Alligator mississippiensis: one gene and its partner. The protein of the gene in region 2 interacts with the protein of the main gene of each other region in a pairwise test. Links are inferred from orthologs where the notes say so. Each region holds a gene or a part of one and is shown on either strand. Other genes may lie near its edges.

The links.
Region 1: the proteins of MYPN (region 2) and ANKRD1 interact in a two-hybrid assay, tested with the Homo sapiens proteins (2 studies listed by BioGRID). The link is inferred for Alligator mississippiensis from reciprocal best matches to the Homo sapiens genes MYPN and ANKRD1.

The regions. Positions count from the first base shown.
Region 1 is NC_081829.1:68,335,662-68,343,032, reverse strand, and holds the start of ANKRD1 (ankyrin repeat domain-containing protein 1), read left to right. Parts: upstream 1-4,366; 5' UTR 4,367-4,424; coding exon 4,425-4,451; intron 4,452-6,132; coding exon 6,133-6,312; intron 6,313-7,371. UniProt on the Homo sapiens protein: May play an important role in endothelial cell activation. May act as a nuclear transcription factor that negatively regulates the expression of cardiac genes. Induction seems to be correlated with apoptotic cell death in hepatoma cells.
Region 2 is NC_081829.1:54,651,608-54,659,083, reverse strand, and holds the start of MYPN (myopalladin), read right to left. Parts: upstream 3,019-7,476; 5' UTR 2,964-3,018; coding exon 2,044-2,963; intron 1-2,043. UniProt on the Homo sapiens protein: Component of the sarcomere that tethers together nebulin (skeletal muscle) and nebulette (cardiac muscle) to alpha-actinin, at the Z lines.

The sequences.
Region 1 (7,371 bases), about 14 Mb from region 2:
GTTGCATTCCCCTCCTCACCCCCATCCCTTTTATGTTTCAGAGTGTCCGACCAAGGGACTATTTCCCGTATGGCTTTGTCATCTTTTTGGGTTCGTGATTCTTAACATTTACTAATAAAATTCAATCACTTTTCAACAAATAAGTTTTCATACTAATCTATACTAAATTAGGAGTTGTAGAAAGACACAGAGAGTCATGGAAATGGCCTTGTAGAAGGCACATGGCTAGGGCTGTGCAAAACGGCACCATTCCATTTCACCTTGAGTTTTGATAGAACAGTATTCCATTTTGAATTTCATTTAGAGTCAAAACAGTTGTTTCATTCCATCAAAACAGAAAGGCTGTTTTGACATTTTGCTGGGGATGGGAAGTCAGCTGGGCTGACTTCCCATTCCCCGTGCTAGATCGTGCCGGGGGGTCGGAGGCAGCCCAGCTGGGCTGACTTCCCATCCCCAGTACTAGATCGCACCACAGGGTGGAAGGAACCTGGGCTGCCTTCCGGCCCCGGTGCAATCTAGTGTTGGGAATGAGAAAGCAGCCCAGCTGGGCTGCCTTCTTCCCCCTGCCCTGGTGCGATCTAGTGGCGCGGATGGGAAAGCAGCCCAGCTGAGCTGTCTTCCACCCCCAGTGCGATCTAGCACCAGGGATGGGGATCTAGTGCCCCCTGCCAGATCTTGCACTGGGGATGGGAAGTCAGCCCAGCTGGACTGACTTCCCATCCCCAGGCTATGGTCAAGATGTTTTGACTTAGCCTTGTTTTGTTTTGAGGCTATTTTGACAGTCTTTGTTTCATTCTGATTTTGCTGTTTTGACCTTGAAATTGGTCAAAACAGTGTCAAAACGAAATGGTCGGTGATATTTCACACAGCCACCATCTTTGAAAACAAGAGCCAAGAGCACAGGTTCTCAGTATAAATATAGCTTCAATATGATGACTGCATTGAAAACATGATAATATGCTTCATGCAACATGGAAATATCTTGTATATAATGTATAAACTTTTTTTTTCATTCTGCTAGAAACTATTTAATAGTTATTTAAAAATAAATCCTTACAACAGCCAAATATCTTCTCAAGGAGTAGCAAGGAATGTAACTACTACTTATTTCTACATCCTGTTGATTTTACTGCCCTTCATGCTTTTTGTTACAATCTTGGCTGTATTCAACTGACTCGCACATTGCAAACCTTTGCTCTGCCCATAGCAGTTTGACCTGTGCTCTCCAGAATTCCATTACACATGCCTATCACTGACCACCTGCTATTATTAACTTAAAGTAGATATGGGAAATCAGTGGTTGAAAGATGATTAAGTAACTGTAGTGCACCACTAGCTAATGGATAATTGTGCTACTTCCCCTAAAATTGGAAGATGGGGATTGTGCTAAGGACCTTGGCTCAAGTCTCAGCTAATATAAAACAATGTAACTTTTCTGATGCCAAGGGAACAACACAGACAAAATTATAGTTTCAATCATTAAACACCAACTGAATTCAGATTTTACACTCAGCCAGCCTTTGTTTAAATCTGTCATCCATTACTGCTATTCAGGCATCTTAAACATTACAAATATTTATTTTTCTCTATTCCCTCTAGTCATCAGGAGCTGGGCTTCTTAAAAAAATACTGACTGTGTTCATTTTCTGTGATGGTACCATAGGAAGTCTGAGTCAAAGTAGTAGGTTTTTCTCTACAGACTGATGGACAAACTCATTTGAGTTCCAGATCAGTGAACCAGTTTCAGGGAAGGCTCCATCTCCCTTGTCCTTCTAATTTAGGACTTTGCTTGCAGAGTTTCATATATCAAGCCCCTTTTAAAGAAATTAAATGTAAAGAAAAACCATGCTTCAAATGTAACAAGATGAGACAAGTTACAGTTTCTTAAGCTATTTTTTAACCATTCTGTCAACATGCCTAACATTTTCCTTCCCATGTCATTCTTCTACCAGCTTCTGCTGACTATGAGGAGGTGCATGTAACTGCAGATGTTAAAAGCTCAAAAGATTATTTCTCTAGTAAAATGTGGTCCACATTGTGAGAGTTTAAGAGTTCCTGGGCACATCTACATGTGCTATTCATGCATTTTAGGCTTACTGCACAGTAAGCCTTCCCAGGGAGCACATCTACATATGCACCCCGTTGTTCCCACTCTGCTCTGCCCCAGTGCAGTAGCCAGGGAAAGCTCTAGACTCCCCCAGATGCTAGTCTGGGGGCTGGCAAGGGACACAGGGGCCAGGGTGGGTGATGATGTGCATGGGGCTGGGAAGACAGCACCGTTGCAGCCAGCAGAGCTCTCCTGTCCCTGTGCACATCAGGACATACTGCTGCCAGCAATGCCCCCTCTCAGGCTGGGTTTCCCTGCCTGGGAGGGGGTTTACTGGGAGCTGTCCCAGGTGTGGGGCAACTGCTAGTGAGCCTCCTGCTAGGCAGGCCCCTCCACTCAGCATGGGGCTGGCCAGGAACTGTTCTGCAAGTGGGGCAGCTGCCAGTGAGCCTTGTGCAGTTCCTGAACAGCTTCCTGCCAAATCGGGGGGGGGGGGGGCACAGGGCTGACCAGCAGCTCCCTTGCTTAGGTTCCCAGTCCCTGCCTGCCCCCAGAGCAGCTTTGCACCACACAGAGCTGAGAACTCCAGAGAGTGAGCGGGGGCTAGAGTTCCTACCTCCACACCATGCAGAACTATGCCAGAGAGTGAGCAGGGCTGGGTTCCCAGCTCCCACTCACTCTCCAGAGCTCTCAGCTTTAGGCTGGGAGCTGGGATTGGGGAAGAGGGGAGAGAGAAGAGAGTTCCCTAGTTCTAGCACTGATCAGCTCCAGGCAGGAGCTGTGCAGCACCAGGACTGGAGACAGAGAGCTCATCCTCTGTGGCCCTCTGGTGCCTAGTTTGACCAGGAGCAAATTTGCTCTTGGTCAGAGTCTACAAGTGCAGTACTGCACAGTTAATTTAGTACCTGTATTTACAGGTACTAACTGTGTAGACTGTGGTGCTTTACTGCACAGATTAATCTACTTTGTAGCAAAATGTCTCATGTAGATGCACCCCATGTTATGTCAGTTACAAACAAGGCAAAGCCAAGCCAAGCTGGCTCCTGTTCTAGTAAACATAGAGCAGGAATACAAATGTATTTTGGAAGCAGATAATAATGCCATGTAGAAAATAACTCTTTTGGAATAACATATGGAGGTATTAGTATTTGGGAAAAGAATTTTAGAAAGGCTGTCCCACATACTCTGTTTTAGCTCTGGGGTTTACCTTCCAATGTCACAAATATTCTAATCAGTAAAGGAAGCACCTGATGTTCAGCTTTGTTTCAGCAAAAGGGAGAGCACAGGGTAGGTATAATGGTGCCTAGCAGATACATTTGAACATACTCGAATTACTAGTGGATAGTTTAGGAGAGGATGGGCACCTTGAAAGGTCAGCATCACAGACACCAATTTACATAAGTAGAGGAGCTTGCCCACATATGGTTTTTCATGGTCAGTAGAAGTTCCTTCTGTCTGCAAGTTCCTCTTTATTTAATATGTATCAGCCTTAATCCATTTGCTGACTAGGTTCTCTCTCTTCTCAAAGTCCCTCAGGCTCAAAAGGAAAATATTGCCTCTGAAAGCAGCAGTGATTTTACTTTTTCAGAAAGTAACTGGATATAATTTACTACTCTGTTTATGACTGGTGACGATTTCCAGGAAAAATGCAAAGCTAGCTGTTTTGAGATCTTATACTGATTGTAACTTATCAGGTCATAGGCCTTTTTAGCACTAGAGACATCATTCTGGTTTAGTAATCCCTTCAGAGAATTCCTTCCAACAAATATAGAAGAGTGCCATCATGATGAGAGAAAGCTTTTCCTCTAAACTGTTTACCATCCAAAAATAGATGGCAATGAAAAGAATGCCTTCCCAAAACTTAAGGGGTCATCCACTTATCAGAAAGACATTACCACAAGTACTCTAAATGGGTCACTTACCCTTTCCGGTGTCTCATAGTCATTTGAAAGTCAGTAAAAAAAAGATATAATGCAATATCAACAGACAGCTGTCCTAGTGGGCACTGGGAAGTTAGAATGACTAGCATTTCTGAGCTATGGTGTCACTGACAAAGGAATGATGATCTCACATTTCATACCAATTCACATATTCAGTGCGGTTAGACAGTGAGACTCAACCTAGCTCCCAACTGATGTCCCCCCTTCTCTCTTGACACTAGATCTGGCTAGTTAACACGCCTGGAATGAAAATGAACCTACCTCTGAGCTGGCAAATCCAAGGGGCATATCTGGTTTCCCAGGTTGGAAGATTATCTCACCCAAGCTAAGTTCCCCAAAGATATATAAGCTAAGATAGGCTGGTGGTCTCAGCAGAGCTGACTTGAGCACTGGGTGTCTTATCCATAAAGGAGTACAACTAACAACAACCAGCAAACATGATGATGCTGAAAGTGGAGGATCTGGTAGGTAAAAGCTGCCTTTGCTCCCTCTCAATTACTGTTATTTCACGATTTTTATTGTAATTAGTCAATAACAGTGTCTTTGTTCATTATTATTACAGGCATCTGTAGAGTGATTGTCACTGCTGAATCATACTATGCTGAAAAGAGCTTGCTTTAAATTGTCCTTGGGGTTTGGGTTTTCCATTAATCTAATGAAACGGTTGACTATATTTTGGATTGGCATACAATGAACCAGGCAATTAGGTGTATACCTTTGATTTACTTGCTTTATTTGCTCAGATGCTGTATTTGTTTACAATTATGCACATGTGTTAACACCCAGTAAAAGATGTATGTAGATGTAGGTATGCAAGATTATCTTAACTTTTAAACCAAAATTAAAAGTTGCTATCTGTTCCTATACAAACTGTTTTCCATGGCCTAATTGACTTCCTGAAAATTAATATCTTAGGCAACAGATAGCTTGAATATTCTTCTTAGTGTTCATCTTAGTCAAATTGGATTGGATCAATAAACTAAGCAAATGTGACAAACTCAAAAGAACACTGGAATGTTGTTTGGAAATTTTTCTTCCTCCCAGAAGAATATGTTAGGATGAAAATGCCATACAGCATAACCAGTTAATGCTAGTTTTAAATTCTTTGGCAAGACCCTTCTGATTTCTACAGTGCTAAATTCTCCACCGCCAAAGTTGTACAACAGCATTTGATATCAAAAACATTCTGGATTGTATAATTTCTGTGAAATATATCCCCAAATGCACTGTGCCTTCACATAACTTTAACATACTCTCTTAATGGAGGTATGTAATCAACCGCAGGAAACATTTTTAGAAACTATGCCTACGCCTTGTGGCATTAGATCATTAGCTAAGGCAGCGTAGCCAACCTGTGGCATCGATGCCACAAGTGGCATGGACAAGCAGATGGGGGAGAAGACAGGCAGCAGAGCAGGAGATAGGGCAGGAAGCAGAAGCAAACCAGAAAATTGGGCAGGGAGCATAAAGCAGAGCAGTAGTTTGGGCAAAGGAAGGGCACCGGAGTGGCACCTGGAGAAGTTTCAGGGCTCATTTGTGCATGCCTGCCAAAAAGGTTGGTTCCCATTAATTTATTTGGGTTACAAAAAGCTACTTCATTCACAGGCAATATGGAACAACTTTTTACTGAGAGGGAGATACCCAAGGTGGGCGAGGGGTACCAAGTCTTTCTACCTTTTACTCCAATGAGTTTATGGAGAGTAGTACACAAGATAAATTAAAAAGGTAAGGTAGAGAAATAAACAGCAAAAAACAAACAAACAAAAGATCAAAAACCCAAACCCTGATTCCAGTTTTATAATGAGACTTATTCTGATATTGTTATTATAGTAGCAAGCAGAACCTAGCCAGAAAGACAATTTATGGCATGCTCTCTTATAGTAGGCCTGATCCACTCAGTGAGAGCTTCTCCATTGACTTCCGAAGTGTTGGGTCAACTTGTGAGTTAGTCCTTTATGACAACTGTCGTAACAGTTTAATTTGGCTTCAGAGTTTGTGAAAGTGTTGGGTCCCCAAGTGCCACATACACTCTTATGTGGGGACAGACAGACCACTTTCAAACAATAAGATGTTCATGTTTTTGCAGTTGGTGGATACTTATGATTCTGTACTGTAGGTTGCATAATATTTCATTCTCTTTTGCAGGTGACGGGGAAGAAGAGTAACAGCAATGAGACTGGAGGTTTCCTACCAGAAGACTTCAAACATGGAGAGTATGAAGCTACTGTGAGATTAGAGAAACAAGAGGATCTCAAGACACTCCCTGAAAACTTACTGGCCCAAAGAGATCTTACCTACAAAAAGGAGAAAAAGCTAGAGGCAGAGGTAGGCTCTTTGGTTTTGTGCTCATTTTTTATCATTATGTGGCAGCTGTACCTGTGAAGCCCTAAAAACTGTCCATGTCTTTTGTTCTGTTCTAACCAATGTATCTTTAATGGTGAGTCTAAAAAATAAAACCTTGACAAACCTCCACCCAGGGAGAACAGAGTACCTGACACTGAGTCCACTTAACCAACAGAAATCATCTCATTGACTTAAAACAGGCTTTCAATCATGTTGCGCTGAAAACAGCATTAGATGCTGCTTCATTTTTCACTTCTAATTAAAGAACCAGAAATTTCTTATCTTCCTGTGGCTAGCTGTACAGTAAGCAAAGGCCTGGCATATCCAATTTGTAAACTTAATAATCATCGCTGGCATCAACCAAACAAATAGCAATTGCAGTTTGGATCTCTCACCATTCCCCAGCATAGATTTAAGAGCATAGTTCTTTCCTGAGGTCCTTTTACCAACCCCAGCCCCCACAGCATGCTTTCTATCACACCATGCAGAAGTAGTAGCCATTAAAATGACTCCTGTCAAAACAAAATGAACAAGTACCTTTTTTGGGATATAGCAGCTTTTCATTCCCCCCCCGTTTGTTTACTTCCTGTTTCACAAAGCACTACAACAGGTCTCCCATTCATCAATGTAAATTAGCAACCTGCCACACTCAACACTTACAGCAGTTCAATTACATTAGAAAAATCCTACTTATTGAGAAAGAATCAGCAGTTTAAACAAAATAGTAGAAACAAGGCTTTTATTTACAAAGGAGGGGTATGTATATGAATATAAAAATATTCATAAGCCCAGAAATTACCCAATTTAACTAAGAGATTATCACTAACCAGAGAATTAATATTTTCAAACTCACTTATTGATGGAGTATTCACAAACATAATTATCAAACAGTTCTTGGGAATTTGATGCCTGACCCATGGCCTACTGAAAGTAGTAGGAAACTTTCCATTGACTGAAGTAGCCCACAAATCTACATTTTTAGTTAGTTAACAGAATGTAATACTGTTGAGTCAAACTAAAACTGGCATGAATCAGGCTAAT
Region 2 (7,476 bases):
CAAGTGAATTTCACTACTATGCATTTACAATGGAAACACTTTGCAATGATCTTTCTATAGTCATTTCTACTCTTTTTACTACTAACTTAATACAGTCTTAGGAATCAGAAAAAGAGCCCAGTTTAACAACATTTATGTGTGCAATAGCCACTTCTTTTGAAGGCAGTGGTGTTATTTAAACTTACACCAGTGTAACTTAACTCAGAATAACTCTATTAGAATAGAAAAACATTCTCAAACTAAATGTAGGTATTCCAGTTCAAGATGGTAGTTTGCATCCAAGAGGGAAAAATGGCTTCTAATGTCTAGGCAAAAACTCCTTTTTTTAGAAGCTAGAGACTTCTTCAGAACAGGAAACGAATATATACGGGCTGGAAGTATAGCCATTCTACTGTTTTCAGGAAAATCTCTTTCCTTTTATTATTCTCCTTTCTAGCAGGTTTCTCTTCTACCAGACAGAGGTCTGAACTCAGTTTAGCATTTTGGATGACATAAATGCAACAACCAGATTATGAAGAAAAGAAAAGACTCCCCTCCCCCAAACTCTTAATTAGACCAGAGAGTTTGAGTAAGAAACAAACATGCTGGAAGGTTATTGCCCCCAAGTAAGATGCTTTCCTTCAGTTTCAGCTTAGGAACACCATGCCTCTTCTATTGACAGCTAACAGATCCTTTGGAGGAAATTCACATTCCTGTCACTGACAAATCTGGCAAAAGATTCACTGTGATACTATAAATCATGGTCTAGCTTGGGGGATTGAGAGCATAGGCTCAATGGGGACAAAAATGGCCTGACAATCTCCATTTAGAATGGCTTCTCATAAATGGAGGAAATTCTTTTTGTCCTCTTTAGAAGGATTTTCCATAGTTGAAGACTGGCCAAAACAAAAGGAATTGTAGCTCTTCACTCCATTCCTCTTAACAGAGGATCATACTGCCAGGACTCCTTCTTTCTGAGAGATAGCAACCACTGGGGAGTGAGACTGAGAGCACAGAAGACAAATTCTTTACCCCAGAAATCTCTGAATGCCTTTCATTTGATGAAGATGACACTTACTAGGGAAGCTATAAACCTAGTGTTGAATGATAACTCTGAAGGCACAAGAAAGGCCCTTCAATATATTTTAGAAGGCAACTAAGATTTATCTAAGAAAACTGTAGGCAACTAACCTACTTTTTTAAAATACTAAAGTTATTAATAAGAAAATTAAGTAAATAGCATTTCCTTAGAAGACAAATCAAATTCTCCTTGTATTTACACTGACACAACCTCATCAAAGTCTATATGGTTACACCAACATAACTGAAAGAAAAAAATGCCCTATAATCTATATTTTAACAGTTTTAGGTTTAGAAATACCAGTGAAGACTGAGAATTCCAGGATAAAAGTGACAATTTTAATAATCCGTTTCCCACCCGACCTATATTTAATTTCCAAAAATCTTTACAATCACTTCCTATTTAGTCATCAATATCTCCCCAGCTGCAGGTGGAAACAGTGACTAACTGAAACATTTATAGATGGAGAAACTAAAGTTAAGTGTGAGGAATCATTGCCAGAATCTGGATTGGTATTGAGGTGTTTCTGGCTCTGCGGGGATTTTTAATCTCTTATTGATATACGTATTTTGTAATTTTAAAAAGTCTCTTGCTTATGCAATCCTGTACATTTTCAATTTAAATGTTTTCTTACTTCTTACTCATCATCATTAACATAGATTATTTCTTTTATGGAAACTGAGCAAATCTTCATAGTGAACAAGCTGAAAATACCTTTCTCAGCGATTTAATTGCAGAAGACTTGCCTCTTTAACAACTGTGCTCTAAAATTTAAAGGAAAAATTGTCCTTAAATGTCTTAAATTAAAATGGCAATAACTTTCTGGATAGTTTAAAGAAGACAGCTGGATTTATTTCTAGTCAATGGTAATAACCAAAAACCAAGAATTGCTTCTATAAATTACCATAAAATATATTTTAGCACGGTGGAGCATATACCTACCATTATCATAATGCAAAATGGCAAGAGTCGAATATGTTTACCTGACTTCAGGTGCTGGAATTCCTACTACAATGCAGTCCAATTGCACTTTGGTTCCTTCAGGAACTTCCCTGCTCTTCAGTTTCTGAGTAAAGCGTGGTGGTTGTCCAATAGGCTCATCAGAATAGAAGGATGTAGGTGCTGACTCCGTGTTTGCCAATTGATTCATAGCTTCAGAGTTTGCCTCTTGTTGATCATCTGTTTTTTCAAGTGCATGCTCTGAGTTATTGTCAGAGTCTTCAGGTGTTGGAATAGAAAGTCTCTCTCTGTTTTCTGATAGAGTTGGGAAACTAGAGCTACCTTTTTGAGCATCCTTGTTTTTAGAATCAAGTTTGCTCCTGTAGTTTTTGCATGTTCTAGGTCTTATTCTTTCTGAATTATGTGCTTTGAAAAGTGAGGAAAGCTCTTCAATAAAATCTGCTGCCTTATTTAGGAATTCTTTCTTTGATTCAGCTTCAGAAGGAAGCTGTTGTTTCTTTAGATCCTGAGAGCTCTTCTTGGAACCACTGACATGATCATGACAGAAGTTTGAGTGCAGAGCATTGTCTGAAGTTGGCAAAGCTGTAGACTGGGCCACTTGTTTATTTGAAACTTTTCTCACAGAGTTTTTCAGCTGATCAGAGGGATAATATGTCAGTTGTTCATCCTGCTTACTTTCAGGTGGATTCTGATCAATTGCTTGTCTTGCCAGATTTACACTTTCATCTAACTCTTCTTGGCTCAGAAAGGCAGAGAGATCTGGAAGGTCATCTTGGGCAGTTACCTCATCTGAATTCCCAGAAGTATTGCCATAATGGATAGTGTGTGGAGATGGTTCTGATCTACTTCTTTCACTGTTCCCTTGATGTTTAGTGTCAGCTAAATAACTCTCTCTCAGAAGTTGAGATATTGAAGTAGAAGTTTCTAAACTGTCGTCTTGCATGCTGTCAACAGAAAGGACAAATAGGACCACGCCTCATCAACAGCACAGAGTTATATAGGCCTCTGAAAAGCAGAATACAGTGTTTTAAGTGCCCTTGCATGCTGAAAATTAGCTGCAAATATGGCCCCTTCTTTTTAAATAAAGTTGCTTCTGTGTATATTCAGGTTCAGACATGCAACTTTACTAGGTAAAATATTTTTTATTACTTTTTACTCTTGGCAGTCTTGCAGAGTTAAAGAGGCTCTGGAATAATCTCTTGTATTCTATTTCAGGTAACATACCATAAACAGAATTGTAACTCAGTTAAAATTGCAAAATGTTGGTTATGTAAGAGCCAGAAAGACTTATGAAGAACTGGCAATCAGGGGAAAATTACAATACTTTTAAATTGAGGAAATTTAATCTGCACATCACTGAGAGACAATAAATCTTTTGACCTCACAAAATCATCTTGAGGAGATAAAAATATGCAAAATAATTTTTCATTGAAAACTCCTAAAAGATATTGCATTACAGGAAAATGCAGGTACAACATCTAGTACACTTTACTCAGATTCTCAGTGTGCAATTAATGTGCCAAATTATGAACATCTTACATTGTGGATAAGATGATGCAGGATACTCATTTTGTAAATTAAATATGTAAAATAAAGAAAAATGGACCTCTATCGTATACTTCAACTTGATCGTCCTTTGTGTTACTAGCTACTTAAACCCCTTTCTTAGAGTCGTGGGGCACCTACAGATGTACTGGACGCCTGCTTCAATGCGTGCTAATTAGCACATGGAACAGACTCGATTAATCAAGTCTGCTGGAGTGTCTCCAGTAGCCTTTGCGTCACATGTATTTAGCATCCCCATGCTTCAAAATGGCAGCAGGGGTGCTTTAACTAAAACTTGTCAAACAACTTTAGCTAAAGTGCCCCTGACACCATTTTGAAGTGAGGGACACTGAATACACGTGATGTTGGATCATATGTAAAGACACCCATGGGCACCATAATTAAATGCACTGTGTCCCAGGGACGCTGGGGTTAGAAGGGTACCCCGGGGCCGAACCAGGGGGGAAGTAACCATTTACTTACCCCACGCAGAGGCCGGGACAGGCAGGGACACGTGCGCGACGAGACTGCCAGCGCAGTTTGTAAGCCGCACTTATATACAGCTGGGGCCGGGCAACGCCGGCGGGAGACGCTGCCCGGCAGAGATAAAAGGCGGCCCTGGAAGCGGGGCCAGAAGGGAAGTGGGGAAAGCCCACAGGGAACCCCAAGAGCGGGACCCGCGCCCGCGGGGCCCATGTACCCAGCCCAACGGGGGAAGTCGTGGCAACGGCAGCGACGTCGGCAACGGCAGCTGCAGCAGCGAGAGCCGCACCGTTAAAGGGGCCGGCGAAGAAAGCTGCAGCTACAGCAGAGAGAGCTGTGTTCTTAAAGGAGCCGACGGAGAAGGTGGAGACGACGTTGGCAGCAAGACTAGAGAAGGAACCAGCTAAGGATCCGGTAAAGGAGCGGGCAGCGTAGCCGGTGAGGAAACCAGCAGCGGACTCGGCGAGAGAGCTGACAGATGGGCCGGCGGAGGAACCGGCAGTGGGACCGGCAAGGGAGTGAACGCCGGATACGAGGCTCCCAGAGAGCTGGAGCCACAGTCCTGGAGAGTAGACTCCCGGGGGAGTCGGTGGCCTTAAGCCACCCAACGGACTCTGAGCCAGGGCAGCCTGTCGATCGGGGCTTAGGCACCCAGGTCAGATTCCGGGCTAGGCGTGATAGAAGGGCTCGACTTTCTGTTTTGTTGTTCGCTTTCCTTTAGGCTCTCCTCTCATTTTGTGTTGCAGTGGCCTCGGGTCAGTATAGGCTAGGGGCAGCAGGGAATCAGGGGGTGTGAAACCCTCAAGGCGGACTCCAGCCTGGGAAGCTTGGTTCTCTGGAGTGGGGACCACCGGGAGGCACAGGACCGGAAACACGCCGGGGCCCCCTGAGGAAGGCCACTAGAAGACCAGCAGCAGCAGGTGGCGATTGGCCGGGGTGTAGGGGAGGTCGGAGTCCCGTGAGTGCCTGCCGAAGGCGCAACGACCCCAGGAGGCAGCATTAATGGAGACCCCCACCACTGAGATTACATTCAAAGTCGTGGCAGGCGAGGTTAGGGGGCCTCCCGTCACCACCCGAGGCACCTCCCGGGGCCCTCTCGTGAGCTTGTGGCCAGCGAGAACGGCCACCCGGGCTAGAGCAGCCCGGGAGCGCCTGGTCGAGCGGAGGCGGGCACAACGTGGTGCATTGGCCGGGAACATGGAGGACCCCAACGTGGATCCCTACGCCAACATGCAACCCGCGGCTACAGGCCCCGTCGATGTCCTGGGGCAGAACCTACAGGTTCTAGCTCAGATCCTGGACTCCCAACAACAGATGATGGGTAGGCAACAAGATTGGTTTCGGCATGGCCTAGCTTCCTTTAAGATGCCCAAAAGATGACGACCCGGAAGCTTACATTGAAGCCTTTGAGCGGCACGCCCTCATGACAGGGCTCGATCAGAGCTGTTGGGCTAGCCAGTTGGGCGCCCTGGTCGTTGGCAAGGCCCAGGCCGCTTATCGGGCCCTCTCGAGAGAGGATGCCCAGGACTACGAGCTAGTGAAGCAGGCCATCCTATACAGGCTGGAAATAAACCCGGAGCACTACCGTCACCTATTCTGGGCCAAAAAGGGGTCTGACGAGAGATGACCCAGAGTGCTATTATAACTATTGAGGGACCTGCTAGATAAGTGGGTGAGCCCAGCCGGACAGGACCGAGAAGCCCTGGCAGATCAAATCGTGCTCGAACAGTTCCAAAACGACCTGGAAGAATGGACACAACGTTGGGTCCGGCAGCACACCCCACGCACCTGCAATGAAGCCCTAAAGCTGGCGGAGGCGTTCACGGTCTCGGAGGCCAGCTACCCTCGAGAGAGGCGGAGCCCAGGGTACTTCCCGGGGAGCCCCAAAGAGCCGGAGCGCCGGAAGCCGCTGAGTCGGGGGGCTACCAGGGAAACCGTGTGCTTCCGGTGTGGCCGTAACGGCCATTTTTCTAGAGAATGCCCAAACCAAGCGGTGGAGCGCTGGATCCCTACCGACAGGTCGAGAGCCTCAACCGAAAAACGGAGGGGTCCGGAATCGGGCAAACCAATGGACTGTAGCTATGCGATCGGGGAGGAGAATGCAGCCTGGAGTTGCCCAGTCATGAAGGCCTGGGTGGAGGGTCGCCCTGTGCAAGCGACCCTGGATTCAGGGTGTGCCTAGTCACTGGTGAGGTCAGATCTGGTAGGGCCACAGGGCCGGCAGGGGGCCCACCCCGTGAGGATAGCTTGTCTCCATGGGGAGTCCCGACTAGTCGAGCGCCAGTGGGTTCGCCTCAGGGTGATGGAACATCAAGGAGAACTCCTAGTTGGGGTGGTACCGCGATTAGCATGTGAGATGTTATTAGGGCGAGACTGGGTGCCTGTGTACGATGTCTTGGACAGGGTAAGGGACACTGAGGTAGCCCGTAGAAAGATCCGAGACTGCGAAGGTTGGCTGGGCGAAATGCAGGAGGATGAGGAATTGGCGGATGAGGCGGGCGAGCTAGACCTCAACAACTTCACCAGCTGTCTACAGTTTCGGGAGGCTCAGACAGAGGACCCAGAGATCCGGGAGTTGCAGGAGTGCGCCCAGGGTCCCCAAGACATCCCAGCACCGCCGCAAGGAGGGCCTTCCTACTTCGAGGTAAGGAACCACCTCCTTTACCGCGTGCAAGGGAAGTGGTGGAGGGAGGCCTTACACTCCCAATTAGTGGTACCCACCCGATTCCACCAAACCATCTGGCGATTAGCACACGCGAGCCTCACGGGTGGGCATCTTGGATGGGACAAGACCCTTGCGAGGATAAGCTGGTGGTTCTTTTGGCCCGGGATGGGGGAGGAAGTGGCCCGCCAGTGTGCAGCTTGCCCCGAGTGCCAGAAGATGAGAACTGAGCGTCCGGCACGGGCACCCCTCCAGCCTATGCCCGTCATAGACACCCCATTCTCGTGGATAGCCCTAGATGTCATTGGACCTCTTCCCCGTAGTAGCTCAGGGCACCAATACATATTAGTGATGGTGGATTATGCCACCCGATACCCAGAGGCCATCCCCTTGCGAGCGGTGACCGCCCCGCGCATTGCGGAGGAGTTAGTAAAATGGATCTCCAGGATGGGGATCCCGCACGAAATATTAACAGACCAGGGGAGGAATTTCATGTCTGGAGTCTTGAGAGCCGTGTGCCGAACGTTACAAATAAAACAACTCCGCACCTCAGTCTACCACCCCCAGACTAATGGCCTAGTGGAGCGCCTTAACGGGACAATAAAATGGGTGTTGCGGCGCTGCATTCAGGGGGACCCCCGAAAGTGGGATCTCCTCCTCCCGCTAGTATTGTTTACCCTAAGGGATACCCCTCAGGACTCGATGAAGTTCTCGCCATTCGAACTAGTGTTAGGGCACCGGCCACGAGGTCTGTTGCAGGTCTTGA